2 linked regions of the Lonchura striata genome follow. The protein of the gene in region 2 interacts with the protein of the main gene of each other region in a pairwise test. Links are inferred from orthologs where the notes say so. Each region holds a gene or a part of one and is shown on either strand. Other genes may lie near its edges.

Evidence for each region. The genes of interacting proteins can lie anywhere in the genome.
Region 1: the proteins of FHL3 (region 2) and SLC25A46 interact in binary tests that used the Homo sapiens proteins (3 or more experiments, as listed by UniProt). The two-hybrid records come from large-scale screens. The link is inferred for Lonchura striata from reciprocal best matches to the Homo sapiens genes FHL3 and SLC25A46.

Annotation. Positions count from the first base shown.
Region 1 is NC_134642.1:79,750,366-79,761,031, reverse strand, and holds the start of SLC25A46 (mitochondrial outer membrane protein SLC25A46), read right to left. Parts: upstream 3,975-10,666; 5' UTR 3,913-3,974; coding exon 3,660-3,912; intron 1,868-3,659; coding exon 1,825-1,867; intron 615-1,824; coding exon 557-614; intron 77-556; coding exon 1-76. UniProt on the Homo sapiens protein: Transmembrane protein of the mitochondrial outer membrane that controls mitochondrial organization.
Region 2 is NC_134628.1:4,831,248-4,841,769, forward strand, and holds the start of FHL3 (four and a half LIM domains protein 3), read right to left. Parts: upstream 4,228-10,522; 5' UTR 4,104-4,227; coding exon 4,097-4,103; intron 1-4,096. UniProt on the Homo sapiens protein: Recruited by SOX15 to FOXK1 promoters where it acts as a transcriptional coactivator of FOXK1.

The sequences.
Region 1 (10,666 bases), on a different chromosome or scaffold from region 2:
GTGTCTTATTGATGCAGTACATGATATTGACAACAGTAAATGGTGTGAGATGATAATTCCGTGCATGATAGTTAACCTGTTAAAAAAATAAATAGTATTAGAAATACACTTGTAGATGCTACAACTCTGAAGTATAAAGGCATTTCAAAGAATTGATATCTGTAAAGATCAGCTACAAATATGAGTAAGTTCTCACTGAAATCTAGGAAAAAGGGCAGCCCTTTAAATTATTCATATGCTGAAAGTTTAAAGAAACCATACATAAATCAGAACCTATGAAACAAATCACCCTGCTTGCAAACAGGGATGTGAAAGTTGCTCTGCAGATCCCAAAACACTTGCTGTAATTTGCTTTCCACTGCCCAAACAAAAATGAGCAAGACTTTTCCAAATAAAATAAACTGCAGAACAGAAAACAAGTATTCTACAAGTAAAAATTTGTTAATGTACCAGAGACCTCCTAAAAATTGCAAAGTTTCCCATAATATGTACTTTCATACAGAGGTATGGCAGTACACAGGAGCTTTGACTGGAATAGGTAATATAAAAGACATACCTGACATTGACGACGTAGAACAATGCAAGGATGTGCCAACACATTTTCTGTAAATAGGCTTTAAAGGAAAATTGTATTTAATGCACAAAAATTCCTTAGAAAAGACTTGTTAATTGTCTCTAACAGCAGCAGATCAGTATTTGGAGAAGCAACACATTTTCTAGTGAACTAATAGGCCATGTTTTTGATGGTTACCCAACAGCCTCCCAAGGAACAAGTTACATAAAATCTGACATATACATTTACTGTGAAAAAGCCCCATATATATGTAATATGCACTTATTTTTATAAGCAAAAAATATACTAAATTTCTTAATTTCGCCCTCCTCAGAGTATCACGGTGCAAAACAAACCACAGCTACAATTATGAGAGGTTTAGTTCCCAGTTTTATGTTAATTCTGCATCCTGTATTATTAATCAAGACTCCTCTTAGGAGGGCAGAGGAGTGGTACTAGTAGCTGACCACCTTTTCACCGAAAACACTACTGACCCAAACCAATTCTCCAGCCATTGGCAGAAGTCATATTTGAATCAAAACTTCACAGGAAAGTTCACACTTCCAAAGCAGAATTCCTGGTTGCAGACATTCAGATAGACTATTAATTTCAGCTCAAAATGCCTGAGTGATCAGAGTACTTACCTGTATATTGTTCAAACCTGGGACATGGATTAGAAAAGAACATCCAGGATTTTTACAAACACCCCAAGCTACAGAATCATCTGTGGTAGGTTTCTGAACTCCCAATAAACAAGTGGCACAGAAAAATACTGCAGTTTTGTAACTATTGATCTAATAGTTCCTCTGTACCAAGAGGAAAAACTTTCCTTGGGCATCAGCATCTTATAATCCATCACTTTTTCAAAAATACTATCAATAATCAGGGTCATCATCATAAAGAATGAACTGGCCTTCAGGCCACTTGATTAGATGAACATTATGGTCTGAGGATACTTTGGTAATATACTTGAAGACATTTTCACTTTCTTAGGAAACATTTGTATCACCCAGAAATATTAACAAAAGTTGCACATGTCAAAGAAGTTTTCTGGTGTTAATTTTAGATTACTCGGACAGGGCATTCTGTTTCTTCCATTCATATATTTTTGGCAACAGTTAAAGAAAACAGAAACCTAAATGGGGGGTATTAGGTTTCAAAATACATTTCAACTGCTTATGGCTATTGGAATAAAAACACAACACAGAAGTGTATGTAGGGTTTATAAGTATGAGTTTTACAACCCCTTTGTCACTGAACACATCTCTTACCTTGCAAGGCCAATACCAAAGCCAGCAAATCTGTTCAACTGTTCTGAAAAACAAGAAAAAAATCCGAAACAAAACCAGATGATACGGCAGCGATAATCACAAAACAGAGAAAATGTCATGCACGGGATCTGAAAAACTAGTTTTATCCTGTACTTGCATCAAAAAATTACAAGCACTAAATTACAATATTTATGGCAGTTGAGCAACAGAAGATATAAAAAAATATTCCCCTAGGAACATGTGCACTTTGGACTGCATTTGAGTTTGTACATGCTCTTATATATAAAATTATGCTTTTCTTACAGCAAAAAAAGAAGAGAGAAAACGAACAGTAAAACAGAGAGTATTTACCAATTCAAACCAATTACTGAAAGATTTAGTACGCATGAGTTTGCAGTAATTCTGAAACATAAATCTAGGTAATTGAGGTGAAAATACTGTTAAAACAGTATAAAAGGCAAAATCTTGTGCGAAGTTACACAAAAAGCCACAGATGAAGTAACAAACATCAACACAAAGCAAATTTTCAAGCCAGTTGTTTACCTCCAGTCCTTTGCAAAAATCTGAATTCTCCAAATTGGAGAATTACAGAAGTAATTAATTCAACTCTCTGTTGCCTGCAAGCAGACATTTGCACATTGGGAATTATCAGAAGGGATTTTAAGATGAGCATCAGAACAGTAAAGGCATTTTAAAGTCAATGCTTAGCCTACAAGCTTCATTGTGCATGCAGTCTGAAGGCATGGATGAAGTCAGTAACTTCAGTGGTGCTCCACACAAATGTGGCAGCCCTCCTAAAAATGGTAAGATACCACATGCAGCTGCTGGATTCAGTGATTACAGCAACTCCTTATCAGTGCTCCAAAGTGCAGAATGAACACACCTTCCACATGCAGACGGCGGAAAAAATGCAGTGTCCAGCTATGCAAGGATACTTAATAGTGCTTCAACCAGTGCATGCATGGACGGAGTCCAGCTAAAGGCAGTACTCTTTGTAAGACCTAAATAAAGATACTGCACTACAGCTCAGAAAAGAAAGACTTGCCTACTAATATAATTCGATTTCAGGTAAATTACTATTTCAGAGATTTTTTGATACTCAAGTGTCTACAACCTGCTCCTTTTATTTAAAGAAAACAACATACAGTACCCTAGAGAGAGCAAGTTTTCCTTAATTCACCTCAACTTTGTTAAGATCTAAAATGACTTTATGTATGAAGGCTTACACTCAATTTTCCAGCAATTACCGAAAAAGCCTTGTACTCAGTTGCTTCCTTAAATCCTACAAATCCCACAGTTCCCTCGCTATCACGCGTGGAGGGGGAAAGTTTACGTCAGCAGCTCATGTTTTAAACCCGACAGAAGCCACGCAGTCCGCAACACCACCACCACAATAACGCAGCACTCCAAGAGCCAAAAGCACTTCCTGCCCTTGAAGAAGGCGGGGTGTTTCTGCAGGAGATTATCTACACGGGCAATGAGGAGCGAGCTGACTGCACACTGCTTAACGGGAAGCTGCGGGGCGCGTTCTGGCACTCTCGGACCCCACTGGAGCGGAGCTGCACAGCGCTGGAGCGCAACAGGCAGCGGGTGTTCAGCAGAGCACTCCGCCTTCTTCTTCCCTGCGCCTCAGCACCGGCAGCCCGGGCGGCGCAGCTCAGGCCCGCCCGCCCTCGCCCGGCGCTCAGCGCCCGCGGCGGCAGCGGGGCTCCGCGGCGGCAGCGGGGCTCCGCGGCGGCAGCGGGGCTCCGCGGCGGCAGCGGGGCTCCGCGGCGGCAGCGGGGCTCCGCGGCACCGGCCGGCCCCGGGCTAGCCCGGGCCGGGCCCTCCCTTACCGGCACCGGGGCCGCCCGCCCCGAGGTTGGCCTCCTCGTTGGGGCCCGCGCCGCCCAGCGGGGTCCCAGCCCCGTACGGCGGCGTCTTCTCACCCCAGTGCAGGTTGCGGCTGCCGGGGATGTCGGGCGGGCTGGTCACCCAGGAGCCCGGCTCCGAGCCGCTGCCGAAGGGCCTGGAGCCGGGGCCCAGTTCGTCGCGGCCGACCCCACGGTAGCCGAGGCCGTCGAAGCCGTCGGGGCGGCGCGGGTGCATGGCGGGGGTGGCTGAGGGAGCCCGGCGGGGAGCGGGAGAGGAGCGGGAGGCGCCGCGCTCGGGCCGCTCCGCCGGCAGCGCGCCCGGCCCCGCCGCCCGTCGGCACTTCCGGCCGCGGTGAGGCCGCGCGCGTGACCGCGGCGGGCGGGGCCGGCGCCGCTGGCCAATGGCGGCGCTCCGCTTGCCCGGCCCGGGGCGGGGCGTGCGGCGCCCCCTGGCGGCGCGGCGGAGCGGCCCCGCCGCCCCGCGCCTGCGCAGTCCGCGCGCCGGCTCCGCGGCCGGCCGGGCCCCTCCGGGAGTCCGTGAGGAGGAGCCGGCGATGAGGAGTCTGTGCCGACCTCGGGCAGCGTGTTCTTCCGGGGAAAAACTCCTTCTTATCGGCCCTGGAGATGAGCGCAGCACTGCACACGGCAGGCGCAGGGAGGAGGCCAAAAAGTGGGGCATGGGTTGTGGAGAGGAACGCAGAGCACCCAAGATCCCCAAAGCCCTCTGCCTTATTTCCATAACCAGGCCCAAAGAACAGACTGCCCATGATAACTGATTGAGTAGAAAGTGAGAAACACTTCAGGACGGGGAAGTCAGGCCACAGAAAGTGTCCCCCAATCCCACAGGATATCCTGTTGGCTGGATGGATGCAGCTGGGTCGATTCTGACACCAGGACTGACATCCCTGCAGCTGGATCAGTCTGGAACCAGGACTGACATCCCTGCAGCTGGATCAGTCTGGAACCAGGACTGACATCCCTGCAGCTGGATCAGTGCTGGAACCAGGACTGACATCCCTGCAGCTGGATCAGTGCTGGAACCAGGACTGACATCCCTGCAGCTGGATGGATTCTGACACCAGGACTGACATCCCTGCAGCTGGATCAGTGCTGGAACCAGGACTGACATCCCTGCAGCTGGATGGATTCTGACACCAGGACTGACATCCCTGCAGCTGGATCAGTGCTGGAACCAGGACTGACATCCCTGCAGCTGGATGGATTCTGACACCAGGACTGACATCCCTGCAGCTGGATCAGTGTTGGAACCAGGAGCACTGAGCTCTTATTTTTCTTTCTCTCTTCTTCTCTTTAGCTCACCTCTTCTTCTCTGTCTTGCCTTTCACACTACTTCTTTATCTAAAACCTATTGCCTTGTACTTACATAGCCGGTCAAGGACGAAAATGCCAGCTTCCATGCTGAGTATGTAATTTACTAATAAAACTTTCTGATTATTTGCTGACCCTCTAACTTTTGTTGTTCCTTTCAACCATGAGCATTTATGAATCTTCCTTCCCCTTAGGAGTGGGAGGCCATACCCTGTGGGTTTAATGATCCTTTAGCTCAGAATCACAGAATCATTTAGGTTGAAAAGACCTCCGAGATCACCAAGTCCAAACTATGACACCATGTCAACCACCCCATGGCACGTCCAGTCTTTCCTTAAACACTTCCAGGGACAATGATTCCACAACCTCCCTTGGCAGCCCATTTCAATATCTGGTCACTCTTTCTGTGAAAAAAAATTCCTACTGGGCAGCCAAAACCTCTCCAGGCAATTAAACCATTTCCTCTCACTGTGTCCTTTGTTGCATGGGAGAGGAGCCTGACCTTGCTGCAATCTCCTTCCAGGCAGCTTGTCTTCTCTGAAGAAGCTCAACAAGGTCTCCCACAACTGCGTCTTAGTCTGACATGCAGTTGTTCTTATTTTGTGCACTAGGTTAAGTGAGCATTAGTGCATTCAATTCTAAGTATAGCATGAGTCATCCACAGCTTTGTGAGAGGAAATCTCATTAGTGCATATGAGTATCTCTAAGGCTGGTGCCAAAGGATGGTGCCAGACTCTTTGGTGCCCAGGGACAGGAAAAGGAGCAATAGCCATAAACTGAAACACAAGTTCAACACATAAAGTTACAGTTACTCTGTTTTGTTACACAGTTTTAGTCTTCCTAAAATTGTGGAAATCATAAAATCAGACTAGTCAGGATTGAAGGAAGTCTTTAAAAGTCATCTAGACCTACCACCCTGCAATAAGCAAGGACACCTTCAATTGCCAGCAAGTGTTTAGGGCCCTTTGCAAACTGAATGAATGTTCCCAGAGATGTGGGTACAGCCTCTCTGGACAACCTTTTCCAGTGTTTTACGAATTTTATGATACTCGCAGTCCTTCAGCTGTGTCAATGGCTCTACTCAGCTTCATATAGTCTCCAGATTTGCTGAGGGTGCACTCAATCCCACAATGTCCATGTTACTGTTGAAGATGCTGAACAGTGCTGATAGGAAATTGAATATTAGTATTAAATAGAATTTCAGGTGTGGGATCCATGCCTTCTACACAGTGTCCCCAGACCATTCCCTGGTGTTTGACTGTGCTCCCATAGCACAGAACCTATTCTCACATGATACAGTAGAAGTTTGGGTTTCCTTCTTTTCTTTGAAAGAAAACACCAAGAAAACAATTCAGAGATCCACTTTTGCAGTGAGAAGAAATTGGCAACAGCCTAAGTGCAGCAATTACAATAGGACACAAAGCTTCTGTGTTAATGATCCCTTAAATTTAATTCCCATATGACTTAATATAAAGCCACACATGCAGTTTCTGTGCTTGGTCTTGGAAGACCAAGCAGGTCTTCCTGCTTGGAAGACAAGCCTCCAGGAGAGAAACAGAATGAAGGTTGTTGATAAGAGAAACCAGTAAACCACAGTTCTTCAGAAGAAAAATAGGAGAAAGAGTGTTGTTCCAAAGAAACTACAATCTTCTTCCACACTGGAATATGACATGACTGTTGGAATAGCCAGATCTGCTGTGTTTTCTAAAACAATATTCATTGACTAATATTGGGTTGGACTCAATGATCTTTAAGGTCTCTTCCCACCTAGTTATTCTGTGAATTCTGTGAATGTGTGTGAGAGGGAGAATTGTTCAGTGTGAGAAAACTGTCTTAAAATTAAAATCTACATTTTTCTTGGGAAACAATGCTCATAGCCACTGCTTTGTTAACCTGTTAGCAAAGGAGTAGAGTGCAAAGCTGCTGACTCAGATTTGATTTACACCAGATCTTTGAGATCTGTGAGATCTGCACAGTGGGTAGCTGCCCTCTTGTTCATATAATGGAAGAGAGCAGCTGTGCTCCACAGCAGCCTGGAGCTTCCAGCAGCACAGCCTGAAAGACAATTCAATTGAGTCTACACATTGGACCTGTGTGACTGCAGGAGTGGTTTCTGTGGGGAGATATCAAGACCTGCCCCTCTGTCAAGCACAGCCAACTCCAGCCAGACCTGCCATGGCCAAAGCTGAGCCCATCCATGATTTTGGTAGCAGGAGAGGGTAAGAGAAATGTGTTTTTTTCCAGTATCCTACTCTATTTTAAACTGGCAATAAATTAATCTTCTCCAAGTGGGTGTCAGGTTTGAATGTTAATTTGACATTGGCTTAGATGGGACACACAGTAGTGCTTATGTCATTTTGGATCTTCACTCCATGCTCATGTTTTGCTTCCCATAGTAATTCAGGATGAGAACACAGATGCTTTACACCAGCAGGATGCTCGCCCACAGCCAAGGACAACAGCAAACTCGCCATATTTTTCCTGGGTCTCTTAGTCCTGGCATCCACAGCATCCTTTGTGACATCCCAGTGATGGATGTCCAAACAGCTCTTTCCCTTCAGCTGCTCATCTCTTGAGTGCTCTCAGAAGAAAATCTTTGGTTTGCCTCACAGTTTTATTAGGCACATAAATAGACCCTCAAGCAAAAGTCACCCCAAAAGGACCAGCAAAAAGGACCCTGGGTTTTAACACCTCCTGGCAGTCTGGACTTGAAAATTACATTTTCCTGCTGTACTTCTCTGCAACTCCCTCAATTACCCAAACAGGAAACTGGAAAGTGCCACAGGCTCTTGGGTCTCTCCCTCACACAGACAACTGGCACCCAGCATCTGTTCTTTGGCTGGCTTGTTCACAATGTGATCAAGAGTGATCTGGGCAAGGAGGAAGAGCAAATTGCCTTCATGGGAGAATTTTCAATTCTGAGCTGAAAGGAAACAGGCCTGGAAGTTAAATGGGCCTTTGTGTGGTTGTTTCTCCTCATAGCTGAATCTTAAGGTGGGTGGCTGGATCATCCTTTGCTGCTTGTGCAGTAACACCTCTACTTCAGTATTCTTTTGTGTACAATTAGATATACCTCCAAACCGTAGGAACAAGACCAAATTGCAAAGCCCATATATGATACCATGTACAATGTATTAATGCTCTTCTAATGGTTTTGATAGCAGAATACCAAATTCTGTTAAATGCTGTGTATATGATTAATAAATACAAAACCATGAATAAACAAAGTTCAGAATCTGTCCCTCAGCTGAGTTGAAGAAATATATATGGGAAATGGGAATCAAAACTAAAGAAATAAAAAGATTCTTCTTGTTGTAGGTTTTTACTGGAGTAAACCTACTTGATACAAAGCGGCGTTATCCTGGGGAATTTGTCATGAGAAAAGTCCATTAAAGAACTCAAAGAATTTCTCTGTGATCAAGATTTGGATGTAATTAATTTTAATTCATCTACACTAAAGAGATGTGCAATGGCATATGTGAACATGTGATGTGCATCCCCTGCACTCCTCCTGAGGCCTCATTGTGATCTGAGAAATCCTCATTAGCCTTGATCTTCACAAAGGGCACCTAGACTGAGCTCCTCCTGAGTTTATCAAAATCAGTCTGTTCCCAGGAACTAGTACTAGTCTCCTGATTTTTAATGAACTGCCTTGGAAACTTACTTTTCTTGCCTCGAAAACAACCCAAGCAGAATAACAATTTTGTTATCAAACTTTCAAAGAACATGCTAGCCCATATTGCAATCAGGATGAAAAATTATTATGATTGAAGCCCATTCTCTTGTGACTCTATAAACAATGGCCCAAAGTGAGACCCTTTGAGCTCTCCTGGACAGCAGACACTGTGACCAGCACCTCCCTCTGTGTGGGGCCTCTCAGAGCCAGAGAACTCTCAAGTTTGCTAAACTTGGAAGATCACTGAATGACAATGATGGAGCCTGGACTTACACCCCCACTTCTCCAGACTCAACGCTTTGCCCGTTGGGATGATCCAAAGGCATCAGATATGTGTCCTTCACCAAGTCTGAGGAAAATTTTTCAGAGGTACTCTGTGGGTGTCTTATACAGACCCTTTAGGTATGTGTGCATGAGGGTGTGAATATGCTATAGCATATGTACAAGGAATGCTGCTCTCCTAGATTCTTAAGTACTTCAGGTTTGTAAGTTAGGCCCATGAGTTATAGTAAATTCTATATGAATCTTTAGATAAATTGTTTAACCTAACCTGTCACTTAAGTGCCCTTAAGTGCTGTTAAAGCTATAGACCTAAACTCTCAAGTTTGGGGCTCAGTTTAGCAAAGGGGTCTACTCGGAAACTTGTGATGCAATGGGTGGGTCTTCCTTATTCCTGTTTGTCCTTACCCCTTCCCTATCCTTATCCCCAGCCTCCACAGAGTTAAGTTTTGAGTTGATTTTGGATTTCAATTGACTGGTTTTAGGTTTTAGTTTGCTCTTTTTCTATGTGCTTTTACCAGAGCATTAGTAGTAAGTAGTAGTAGAGGGAACCTTGTAAATGAACTACATCACACTTTCTGTTTTATATGAAACCTGCTTTTGCCTATGACTTTTCTGTGATTCTTTAAGTAACCTTAAAACACTCATTTGCCAGAGAACATTAAGAAAAATAAACACGTGCACATTTGAATCAATGCACTGGCACAGCATTAGGTTTCTTTTGCTGCCAGCACAGGCTTAAGCTGTGCATTGGCTGAGCAGCAGCACCATCTTGTGATACAGGTACGGAACTTTCTGTAGGGTCACACACCTGGATGTTCACCCTGTACTTAGCAAGTGGGAGACTCAGCTTCTGGCCTTTGCACTGGCCACTGATCCCAACCCAGTCGTTCTCTTGAGCTACTTCAGCCTCACCCTGTTTCATTGGCGCTTAATTGAAACATGGACAGCTAATTCAGTTATCAATCAGCTCCCAGAGCATCCAGGGGGCTGCTGCAACCAGGCTTAAGGTCTGGTCATTTTAGTTTGTTTTGGAAGCTCTACTTCTGTCATTATAGATGTCCTGCTGGTATATTAAGTCTTACCTGATGTACTAACTCTTATCACTGTCATAATCACACCAGGAGTGGAACTAATCTGTCTTCCTTGCTGAGGCTGAGGAGAAATGCAGAAGAAAAGCAAGCTGTGTGTGTCATCAATGAGACAATGCCATGGGGTTTTGAAGTTTTTGGACTTATGTCAGTTTAGATGCTGAGCTACAGGTAAAAAAACTGTCAGGCAGTCTGCTTAACAGACTCCCCATCTATTAAAAAAGAGAGTGCATGCACTCTCCTGTACATCAGTTAGTCTTGGAGTATGCCATCAACTCTTCATGAATAGTAAAAATGATAATAGAAAGTAATGCAAGAAAATCATGTGACAAAAAGGAGGCTGTGGCTGATGGCAGATCAAAGGATAGAGGTCTGTGGGCTGAATGTCACCTGTGGCAAGGTAATGAATCTGTCTAGTTTCCATCTGAAATGCCTGATTGTCATTTGCAATTTCTCGGTATCCTACTCCTTTCAGAAATGAAGCCAGCTCTCATGCTTTATAGGTTTTTTGGCCTGACACCAGCATCTAAGCAGATGAAAATAATGATGATTGCTGCCACACTCCCTGGTACCATTAATTTTTCAAAAGTTCATGTTTTCTATCATTGCTTTAA
Region 2 (10,522 bases):
CTCCCTGCACCACTGGGGTGTTGTGCTCACACATGTGCATACGCTGAGCTCTGCTGAGCAAGCTGCACCTCAGCCTTTCCCCCCAGCACGGGCAGGACGCCCTCCTGCCCAGAGCTGTCCCGGGTTGCTCCAGGCTGTGCAAGAGATTGAGTAAAACGGCTGGCAGCACTGTAAAGAAACACCTTGCATTTCAGATAAAACAACTTGCTGTCAGCAAGGTAAGCAGCTTCCTGCAAATGCTTTGTGAGGAAGAAGCAGCAGAATCCGTTAAACTGAAGCAGCAGAATCTGACAAGCACAAGACCTAAACTGTTGCATGACTTTAATACAGTCTTAGAATGACAAAATAAGGGTTTCCCATTGTTCAGAAGGGATCTTTAAGTTGCCCCATCCAAAGAACAAAGCCATATCACAGACTCCTCCTGGCAGCTCTGCATATAGATAAAGGACAGTGCCAAAACCACACCTATCCTATAAATGTCTGATTGTACTCTTAAACAGAATACAATCAGTAAGAAAATCACACCTGCCTCCAGTCCCCAGCCTGCCCAGAGGTGCCTGAAGGAAACTGTGACAGAGACATCACACCTGGTCCAAGGTGAGCAAGGGCAAGCTGCCACCACTGCTGTGCTGGGCTTGTGAGGTACCAGCAGCACAGGCACAAGAGACAATTCAGTCCTTGCTCTGGACTTATTTTCTTTAAGGAAAGCTAATTCTGCCAGGGTCTGAGAAAGGAGCTGAAGAGTCCCTACTATGGAACCATAAAAATAAGAACTCTGCCAAGGAAAAAAAAGAGGGCAAGATTTCAGAGTTAAATATTTATTACTAAACATCTGTAGGGGTTAACTAACTATTTTAGGTTCTGAACAAAATCTTGGTCTTTTGGAGGTGTAGCTAACAGCAGTAAAACTATTTGGGAACACTCAGAGCAGGCAGTCTATGTCATTCTGCTGACATTAAATTGGAATGTTTGCTCAAGAGATCAACTGTTAATCTTATTCAGAATGAGCACAAAGCAAGCAAATTCTGTGCACTCAACAGGAAGTCAGGAATTGAAGTCATTTGGGCTCTTTGGAGAACCCATCACATTCAAACAGACCAACAGATGGAAGAAGTCTTGAGAGCAGAGGAGCAAGATAGGAACACACCAGAAACTTCTGGCTAGCTCAACACAGACCATTCTGTCAGGCAGTTAAGAAACCCATGGCTTAAAACCATGCCAGGAGAGATTGTGGCTTGTCTCTGAGGAGGCTGCAGAGAAAAGAGAGGCTCCTCGTGACAGGTACCTTTCCTGCCACGTGCAGTGACAAGCAGGGGACACTGCAGCCGGGCACAGCTGCCACTGGGCAGGGGTTGGCTGAGGGCAGCAGCTGCACACATGGTCACAGTGGCCATAAGAGGAAGAAAGATGCTGAAGCCAAGTTTCAGGGAATGTGACTGATCACAGGAGCTTTGGTGTGATCGGAGGAGCCCAGGGAAAGGGCTGCTCCTGTCAGCTCTTAAAAAGGAGCAAGGGACAGGTGTGCAATTACTCTCAATAAGCATGTTGTGAGCATTCAATCTAGCATTGAAAGTTTAATTTTGGACTGAATTGGTTTATGCCCGTGTAACCCACAGCCATATCAATGCCTCACTGCTTATCCAACTTAACAATCCAAGGATTCCTGGCAATCGTGCTTTCAAGATCTCTTTGCCCCACATAATAAAGGTCATATGCAGTACAACAGAATTCAAACGTGAAAGCGTGACAGGAAATGACTAACTGCACACTGAGGCCAATGTACCTTCATCTTGGATCAGCTCAGCACACAAGAATCTTGCAACTCAAACAGACATCACAGCCTATATGCAGAAAAAATAATCTGACTGCTCTAGTTGCTACTTCTTGGGGCCTGTGCATCTCAATGTAGATATTACATGTATATAATGTAATTCCGCTCTATTTCCCTGAAGTTCTCACAACTGAATCCTTACACTGTAGTTTGCACTTTTCATTCCCTTAGAGACAGCTCCTTTTAAATTGAGGATGAAGCCATTATTATTTCTGAGTTGATACATAATTTAAGTTAGTATTTACAAAGCTTTTTGCAGTCCATAATAAAAGATCCTTACGAGATCATGTCTCTGTTTTGCCCAAAAAGGCAATCAAGGGACTGCCTCAAGCACTGGACACAGCCCTAGTGATTGTGTGTTTTGCTCACGTGCTGAAAACCAACCTGTACAATTTGAGCCCAGTCCCCTATTCTCTGTTTCCCCAACAAGCCTGAAAGCTCTTTTGCTGATTAAGGCTCTGCTCAGCTTCATGTTTCTTTTCAATAAACAAAACAACTTTGACTTCCAGTAGCAGAAAAAGGCACATATCCCAGACATGTTTTATTTAATGCACGCCTATTACTTAAAGGGCAAAGTGAATTTTTTCACCAAATTTGGTCAAAATACTCCCTCTTCCGATTTGATTCTTTGCCTCTCAAACACAAGTATTTGCAGTTGGTTTCTTGCATATAAACAGATCTATTGATGGAGAGAGGTAACGTGCATCTGAGTTTTGTGCCTTTTGGGGCTCTCCAAAATCCGCAGAGGGAAGAGAAAGCCAGGAAGGTGACAGGAGACACTTTTGCACTCCCTCTCTGCCACAGATCCCCGAGGCCTCCCCACCTGTGCTGGCTCTTAGCCCAAGAACACGGACAGACTCCCTGTAAAGTGCTTTTTACAGCTGCTGGTGTCCCTTGCAAGCAAAGGCAATGCCAGGCCTGCAGCACGAAGCATGCAAGCAGCTTCTAAATCTGGGGGAGGACTGAGTCCTGGCAAAAGACAAATTGTCTCATGTTACCACCCTGGGAACAGCTTGATGGTTCTCCCAAACAAAAACTGGGATCATTTGTTGCCCGGGAGATGCTGTGTGTGCCAGCTGCAGCCCTCCCCAAACAGGGCAGCGCTCTCAAGGGCAGCACAGCCGAGCAAAGGGGACACATGGGATGGCTGAGAGGGGAAGAGAACACCTCCTAGGCAGTGTAGAAGTGAAATGAATATAACATGGGCCAGTTCAATAAGGCCTAACTAGTTTTAGCTCCTTCAGCTCCCTTCTGTGACTGAAGGCTTCTCTGCCAGGTAATCTGGCCAGAACGTGTCATTTACTTTCACGAGCTGGTTCTCTTCAAACCATTCTCACTGACACCTTTAAAATTATTCTTCAGTACTGCAAAATTTAAATAATAGAAGCCATCAGTTGCAATTGTTACGTATTTTGCATAACATCTCTACAAAATAACTCCTTGCAAGCGCTAAAAGGAAATTTGCAAGATGCAACATGCGCTCCTGTTTCTGCTGTGCAGAGATAATCTTTGGTGGCACCCATAAAAGGGAAAACTGTGCCACGTCCAAAAGATTATATGGAAACAGGTATTGTAAGGAACACAAGTGCCCACAAAGTGTATGAATGCCTTTATATCATGCAGCTACACATGGAGTTTCCACTGGACATGTCAATCTCAGAATTGGAGCTGCTGCTGGCACGCAGCTCAGTAAAAATGTGGACTGCCTAAAATCTCAGAAAGAGAGGAAAAGCTGTTTATTTACAGAAAAAAAATCCAACATGAACAGATAAGAAGTAACAATATCAAGAGTCCTTGATCCAGGTCCGTGGCTCCTTTACAGAACATCATTCTTTGATTCCCATCTGAGATTTACAAGGGCACCTACATGAAGCACGTCTCTCAGAAGTTAAAAAGGATCAGAAAGAACAGAATTTTCACTAACAGGCTCCTCTCTTGGCAACTTTCAGCTGAAGAACAAGAAGAGCTGCTGTCTCAGCCCTAGAAGCAGCAGATGTGAAGCAATGCCTGTTTCTTTGCTGCAGGGAAGGTGCTCCACACTCACTGATGATGATGGAAGCAGAAGCAACGTGCACTCTGACTATTGGGAAAAAGTTCCCAAAGCTGTTCACATGCCCAAGCAACCCAAGGATCAAGGGCTTCACTGCAATGCCAACAACCCTTCCCTCTGTTCTGGAGCTGATCAGAACAAGAGTGCTCCATTTACAAGCCATTTGTCCCAAACTGGCAAACCCTGGAAATAAAAGCTCAGCCCAATTCGCTTACCTTGCATTGCTGGAAGCAGTGGAGCAGCAGGGACCCAGCTGTGCCAAGGTGCTCCTCCAGCCCCTCACCTCAGTCAGCTACAGCAGGTGCCACCAGCCAGACACTCTCACCAGTAAATCATCACTTCACCAGCAAACACTCAAGTGCTTGTCCAGCAACAAAAGCACTCACATCATAAACCAAGGGTGACATCAGCACAGGGATTGTGTTTCCTACAGGGGTTTAAATGTCATTACTTGTGACTAGAAATTGGACACTTGCATTAAAAGTTACTCTAAATTTTCACAAGAGACGTGATTCCAGTTTTGTGTAGACATATTTTACTTCTAATGCCTTTATATTGCTGAACATCATGATGACAGGAAAAAAAAAAACAAAAACAAAAGAGAAGAGAAGAGAAGAAGCAAAACTCCTAACATAAAGTGAAAAACTCATCATCATTATCAGCCTGACTTACCAAGTCAGGTGCTAACAAGGTGAGCAGCAGAGAGCAGCAGAACCTGGATTGTCACTTGAAAGGGTCAGTGTGGCTCACACAGCCTGATCTAATAATTATTCAAGGTTTCTACATTGCCCTCTTCCATTCTTATTCAAAGTTCTGCTCTACATATTCCAAAATTAAAACTCAAAGCTATCAAGGACCTGAAAGCATTATTTAATCATGCTGTAGTTATTACTGTTTCACACAGCAGGAAGCACAACACAGTCCGTGCACCTTCACCAACCTGACGTGCAGTTATGATTTCCCACACTCAGCTCTGGGCTCTCCAAAAGCAACACATCCAACACTTCTACACATGCACACCGGGCCAGATTTAATCTTTCTGTGAGTTATATGGTGTTTGCTTAGGGTTGAGAAATAGCAGAAATAAAACTTTTCTTGGCTGAGATAGATGCAAAACACGCTGTGCACTTTTTGCTTTTAATGACTCTTGGTGAGTACCACTACCAGTCTATGTATTCCAGAATGTTCTGAGTTAGGCACTCAGCAGTTTTCTTAATGTCAACTGTTCACTGAGTTAAAGGGAGCCACTGAAATGCCTTTAGATTTAGATGATGCCCTTTCTTTTTGAAAATGTCCATGTGCCAAGAGGCAGATGAGCATAAATAATCCAAATTTAAGGAAACAAACTAAAGATTTACCTGTGAAGCAGTTTAGCTCCCCGATTCTCTACTGCCAGTAACACAAATGTGATGATCCAGTGCAAGATCATTAATGCAAAAAAGTCCTCAGTTTCCAGAGCTGACACCCCACACCTCTCACTGGATTGTGGCTTCCTCAATTCCCTAACAGCTGTCAGCAGCAAAAACATTATTTACCCTTGTATTACCCACAGGTCAGGGAGTAATGCTATCTCCCTCCTGGGATTTGCACCTCAGAGAGTTCTGGCACTAGGCATGGCCTGTAGAACTAAAAATGGAACCAAGACCCAAGTCCCATCTTTCTTCTCCTCCTGAGATGCAGCACATATCCCTGTCAGTGGAAACTGTGACACCCACCAACGTGGGGTACAGACCTGCATCTACAGATTGCACAACCCTGACCCTGGGAGAAGCAAGAGAAAAGGGAGGAGGAGAAGGAAGAGAGGGACATGGTCTTTAAGGTGCCTTCCAACCCTGTAGCAGACAGACAAAGTGCTGTGCTGTTCCAGAGTCCAGATCTCCCAACCAACACCATGCCTCTGCTAGTTGCCCTTGCTATTCAAACTTGGGGTTCAGCAGGGAGCAGCTGAGCTGGCAGGCAGAACTGGGATAGGGCAGCAGCAGGAAGTTATGCACCAGTTCCAAATGGGTTCGTTTTTAAGAAAGGAAAAAGCCAGTTTTCCTTAAATGAGGGTGCTGGAATTCCAAGGTGAGGTCAAAAGCCTGGCAGAAATCAGGAGTTTAGGCTGGTACTGGGGCTCATGATGGTGACAAATGCAGTCCTTGCACTCAGGGGCAGCTTAGGACCCATTGATTTTTTGTTGTCTTCCCATCCTGAGCAATATCCAGGAACAGTGCCATCAGGTGTGGACCTCAGAGAGGAATTTCTGTCTTCAACTGTGCTGAAGGTTAGGCCTTTCAGATACATATTTTATATTATTCCCTTTATTTTGTTTCATTAGAAGAACTACAAAAAGACATTTTTCACAAGAAGCCTGAGTGTACATGCAGGTTGTGTGTGATCTGCAACCACACAGTCCTGAACCATGACAGAAATTACCTGTGATACACTCACATGGAGGAAATCTTGTGTGCTTGGATCATTCAAGAAATAAGGCTGCTTTACAGATACAGGAACAACACATGGCCAGAATGTGTTCTAAATCGGTAAGATACAGGCCAAAAAATCAACTGCTAATTGTTTTTACAATTTGTATTTTATATTAAAAAACCCCCTCAAGACCTTAAGAGGCAGAGCTGAGCCTAGAAAGGATTTTTATGGTTAAACCTGAAAGCAGGGATCTAGGACAGAACTAGTCCACTACATTTCAAACTTTGAGCCTGGGTTCTGCCTCAAGCAGCTGGGATTATTTTTCCAGTTAAGCAAATTCCTGCTTCTAAAACCCACTCTGATATTTAAATAAATTTGGAGAAGATGCTGAGTAGTCACTCTGCTTCACAGATAACAAATCAGAACTGCATTGTTTGATGGATTTCTAAGAGAACACTTGAAATTTGGGCAAACAAATTTAAAATATCAAGGTCATATTTACATTCCAGGGTAATAATTAAATACTTAATATCTTGTGGTTCCACTATTTTAGGTTTTTCTACACACCAAAATATTTAGTCATGTGAAAACCATCTGTAGCAGCTGGAAGACATTCATTTGGCATGCCAAGATTAATTAGTTTAAAAATACATAAATAAAGCATTCATTTTATTTCCAAAAAGCTGTTGTTCTTGGTTCTCTTAGGGTGTTGGTGATTAATGCTTATGGAAGGTTCTCAAAAAGAGGTATCAGATGCCAGTTTCACAAATATCTGTTAAGTAAAACAAGGCCTGTGTTTAGGTTAATGCTCTTCTGGACTAAGCCCAGTCATTATTCACAGCAATACAAAAACTAGCTTGCAAACACTTCAATCCCTATTTTTATTCTTTCCCCTATGCTCTCAAATCCACAATGCTAAAATGTGCTTTTAAAAATTGATGAAAAGAAATTTCTCTTCAGGACTGGGGTTCAGATACCCGTGTTTAAGAATTACAAACCTAAGTGCCCAAGTATGTCTTTTTTCTTGAAGAAGTTCCTGCATAATCTCCATAGAGCTTTTCAAAGTCAAGTAAACAAGACACACAGCTGAAACTGTAAAAAGGGTTGAATTTGGCTTAGTATCCATAGGGATCACTTATCTGGCCAACAGCTTGCAAAGGGTTATTTCTTGGCTCATCATTTTTGTTTTGCTGGAAGATGTTGAGGTTTTAGTGAAGTTTCTGCAGAGCGTGCAGCAGCATTCAACATTTTTTGCTCAGCTAATGAGTTAAGTCATCACAGCTCTCCAATGGCTTGAAGATTATGGGTGTAGGAAAAGGGAATGCTCAGAAAGGGGAACTTTTGAGCAGTCACCACTAAACTGCGGTTAAAACAGACACCAATGACTCTATTCAGCTCCCAAACCTCAGACAGTTTCCATTTTCTCAATAACAAAGCATTTTTGTGGAATGAGGTAATGGCCTCCATCTGCCAGGTCGACATCTCCACTAAGATTTCTCAAGAGTGTGGCTGACCAGGGCTGGCCAGCAGAGCCAGAGGCAGGAGAGTCCCTTCAGCCTGGGCAACACAGGGCAAAACTGCCATGGGACAGACGTGGAGAGGAGCCTCTGTGGCACCATCTCACAAACTCTCCTGGGAGTTTGATTCACAAGCAGCCTGGAGCAAGCTCCACACACTGCCCAGCTGAAGAGTCAAAAGGTCAGGAAAAGGGTTGAGATTTGTCATTATGAATGGCCAGGGACAGGCAGGAGGGAGCAGAATGGGTGCCATAAGTCCAACAGCCCATCGTGGGTGGCTCATGAGCAGAGAGTGTGTGATTTAAAGCAAAATCAGGCACACACTGCCAGATGCACAGTGCAAAGGGCAGGGCAGACATCCTGCTCCCTGAGGACAGCACTGCCTGTGGGACTGGCCACTCAAGCTGCCATACACCCCCCACCTGAAATACAAAATATCTGAGGCAGAGCATTTACAGCCTCTGAACACAGCCTGGGAGAGGGTCTGGGTTTGTTCTTTCCTTATTTCTTGAATTTAGCAGCTTATGTCTTGCCCTCTCAGTTCCAGGGATGCTGAGCACTCAATCATTCTTTTGATTTCTGGCAAAGCCAGCTCAGTTCTTCTGAAAAGCAGTCCTTCATTTAGCTCCAGATGAAGATTCCAGCTCCTGTCAGGACCCCCTCATCTGACTCTTGTCTCCCTGTGGATGGCCAGTCACTAAGCTCCCTTGCAATTTTGAGACTCTCAGCTCCAGGTTCAATTCCCCCCATCTGGTTCTCCCATTTAAAGCAAGGCAATTTTCCAGTTGTTTTCTGATGGCCTTTGCATTCCTGTAACACTTCCTCTTGAAGTTTAGAAAACATTAACACCAGCCTCCTCACTTTCTAGTGTAATTCCAACTGTGTGTCCATGTGGATACCTGGTGAGTGGTACCTTCCTTCTTGGCCAGGACAAAGCATTTCCCAAGCCCGTTTTCTTCCCATGAGGAGTGCTGCTGTCAAATGTCAAAAACCCACACTGCTAATACTAGCCTTCTACAAGGTCAGCCAGAAAGGACTTCCATCAAGGATGAGCTTTGCTGGAGAAGGCTCCCTGGGGATTATCAGAATAGTACAGTCAAGCCCAGATGGCCACAACGTGCTGAGCACATTTCCCGCAAACACAGCGGCGAGGCAGAGGCCTCTACAAATCAAAGTCCACCCTGATTTCTGCCATCTGCTGAACACCGAGGGCCAGGCTGAGGCCTTTGGGAAAGGTCAGGATAGTCTTACAGGCTCTCAAGATATTGCTTTTGTTCTCACTATTTGCTTCTCAATTCCTTCGTTAGAAGATACTAATCTCTCTGTAAGGCAGTTACTTGGAGCCAAGACTTTAGATATTATTGCAAAACATATGCTTAAAAGAGACTGGAAATTATGCTGGCAGTGTTACAGAGGGGAGCAAAGCACAGCTTTGGGTCAAAACAAACAAAAAAAAATGTAAGCTAGTAAGCAATTCCCATGCAATAGTTTAGGAGAGCCAGCAAAAGCTTCTTCTAGAAAGAAAACAATGCTGTGAGAACGAAGCTAACGAGAGCTGGCTCTTGGAAAAATAAAACAGCTAGTAATGAGCCAAAAGCACATATCCAAGAGAATCTTTCTGGGAAACCGACCCAAGTCTTTACGCTGGAAAGCCCTGAGGGACTAAGGACCTTGAGGCTAAAAGCTGGCAAATTGCTTCATCAGTTAAGGTCGGTCTCAATGTTTCCTACTGTGTAAAAATAATTTGTTTTAGCCTACAGGTCTCTACAGAGCACTGGGTAAATTCAGACTGCTTCCTTTGGGAAGGGAAACGGAGCCCCTGGCAGAGCCCTGCCCAGTGGGATATTTTCAGGGGTTTCCCACCACCACTGCCAGCCCTCCAGCCCCAGGCTGGCCCAGCACACTCAGCCCTTGGCTCTGCTGAATTCCCTCGGAGCTGCTGCAGTGATCTGGGCACCACATGGCCACTACGGGGATGGTAAATCCCCCAAGCTGCTCTGGTCAGTGTTACAACAACATGATGAACGTGCCTCTGTAAAGCCACCTTCTGGAGGCTCATTCTCCCAAAACGGATGCAGCCAATGATCCTGAGATAGCTCGTTTTCCAGAGCAGTAAGGAACAGACCTTGTTCTCTCTCTTTCAGAGATTTGTTCATGCACCCACCAGGATCTAGGTGCTCATACAGAGTGGCAAAGGCAGGGTCTGTCTTTGCAGCCCACTGGTTCATTGCCAGTCCAGCTCCCCAGCCACAGCACCACAGCAGGAGCACAAGACAATAAATGTGTGCTCCAGCTGGGCTTCTGCGTCAGCAGAGAAAATCCCCGCATTGGCAGGGGATGTCAAGGTACTAATGACTTTCTTTCTCTTCCAACTGCTCTGATTCACGTTGCCATCTTCCTTGCAACTGACCTAAATAACATGTTCAGGCAGCACTGAAGTATTTCCATCTCATACTGCAGTAAGAGTGAGATCTTTGCATCTGGAAAGGGAATTTCACAGGGAAGTCACGCCACAGGTGAATTAACAGTGTCCTTCTCAAGAAGAGAACACAAGCACCCTGTCTTATCCCATCAGGGAGACTTCCTGGCTGCAGGAGAACAAAGGTTGCCCAGGAGCAAGGAAAGCACGTACAACACTCCCAAGCCCCAGCAGATCTGAACAATGTGGGCAGATTACTCAGTTACCTCATTTCCAGGTGTGCTGTCAGCATGAGC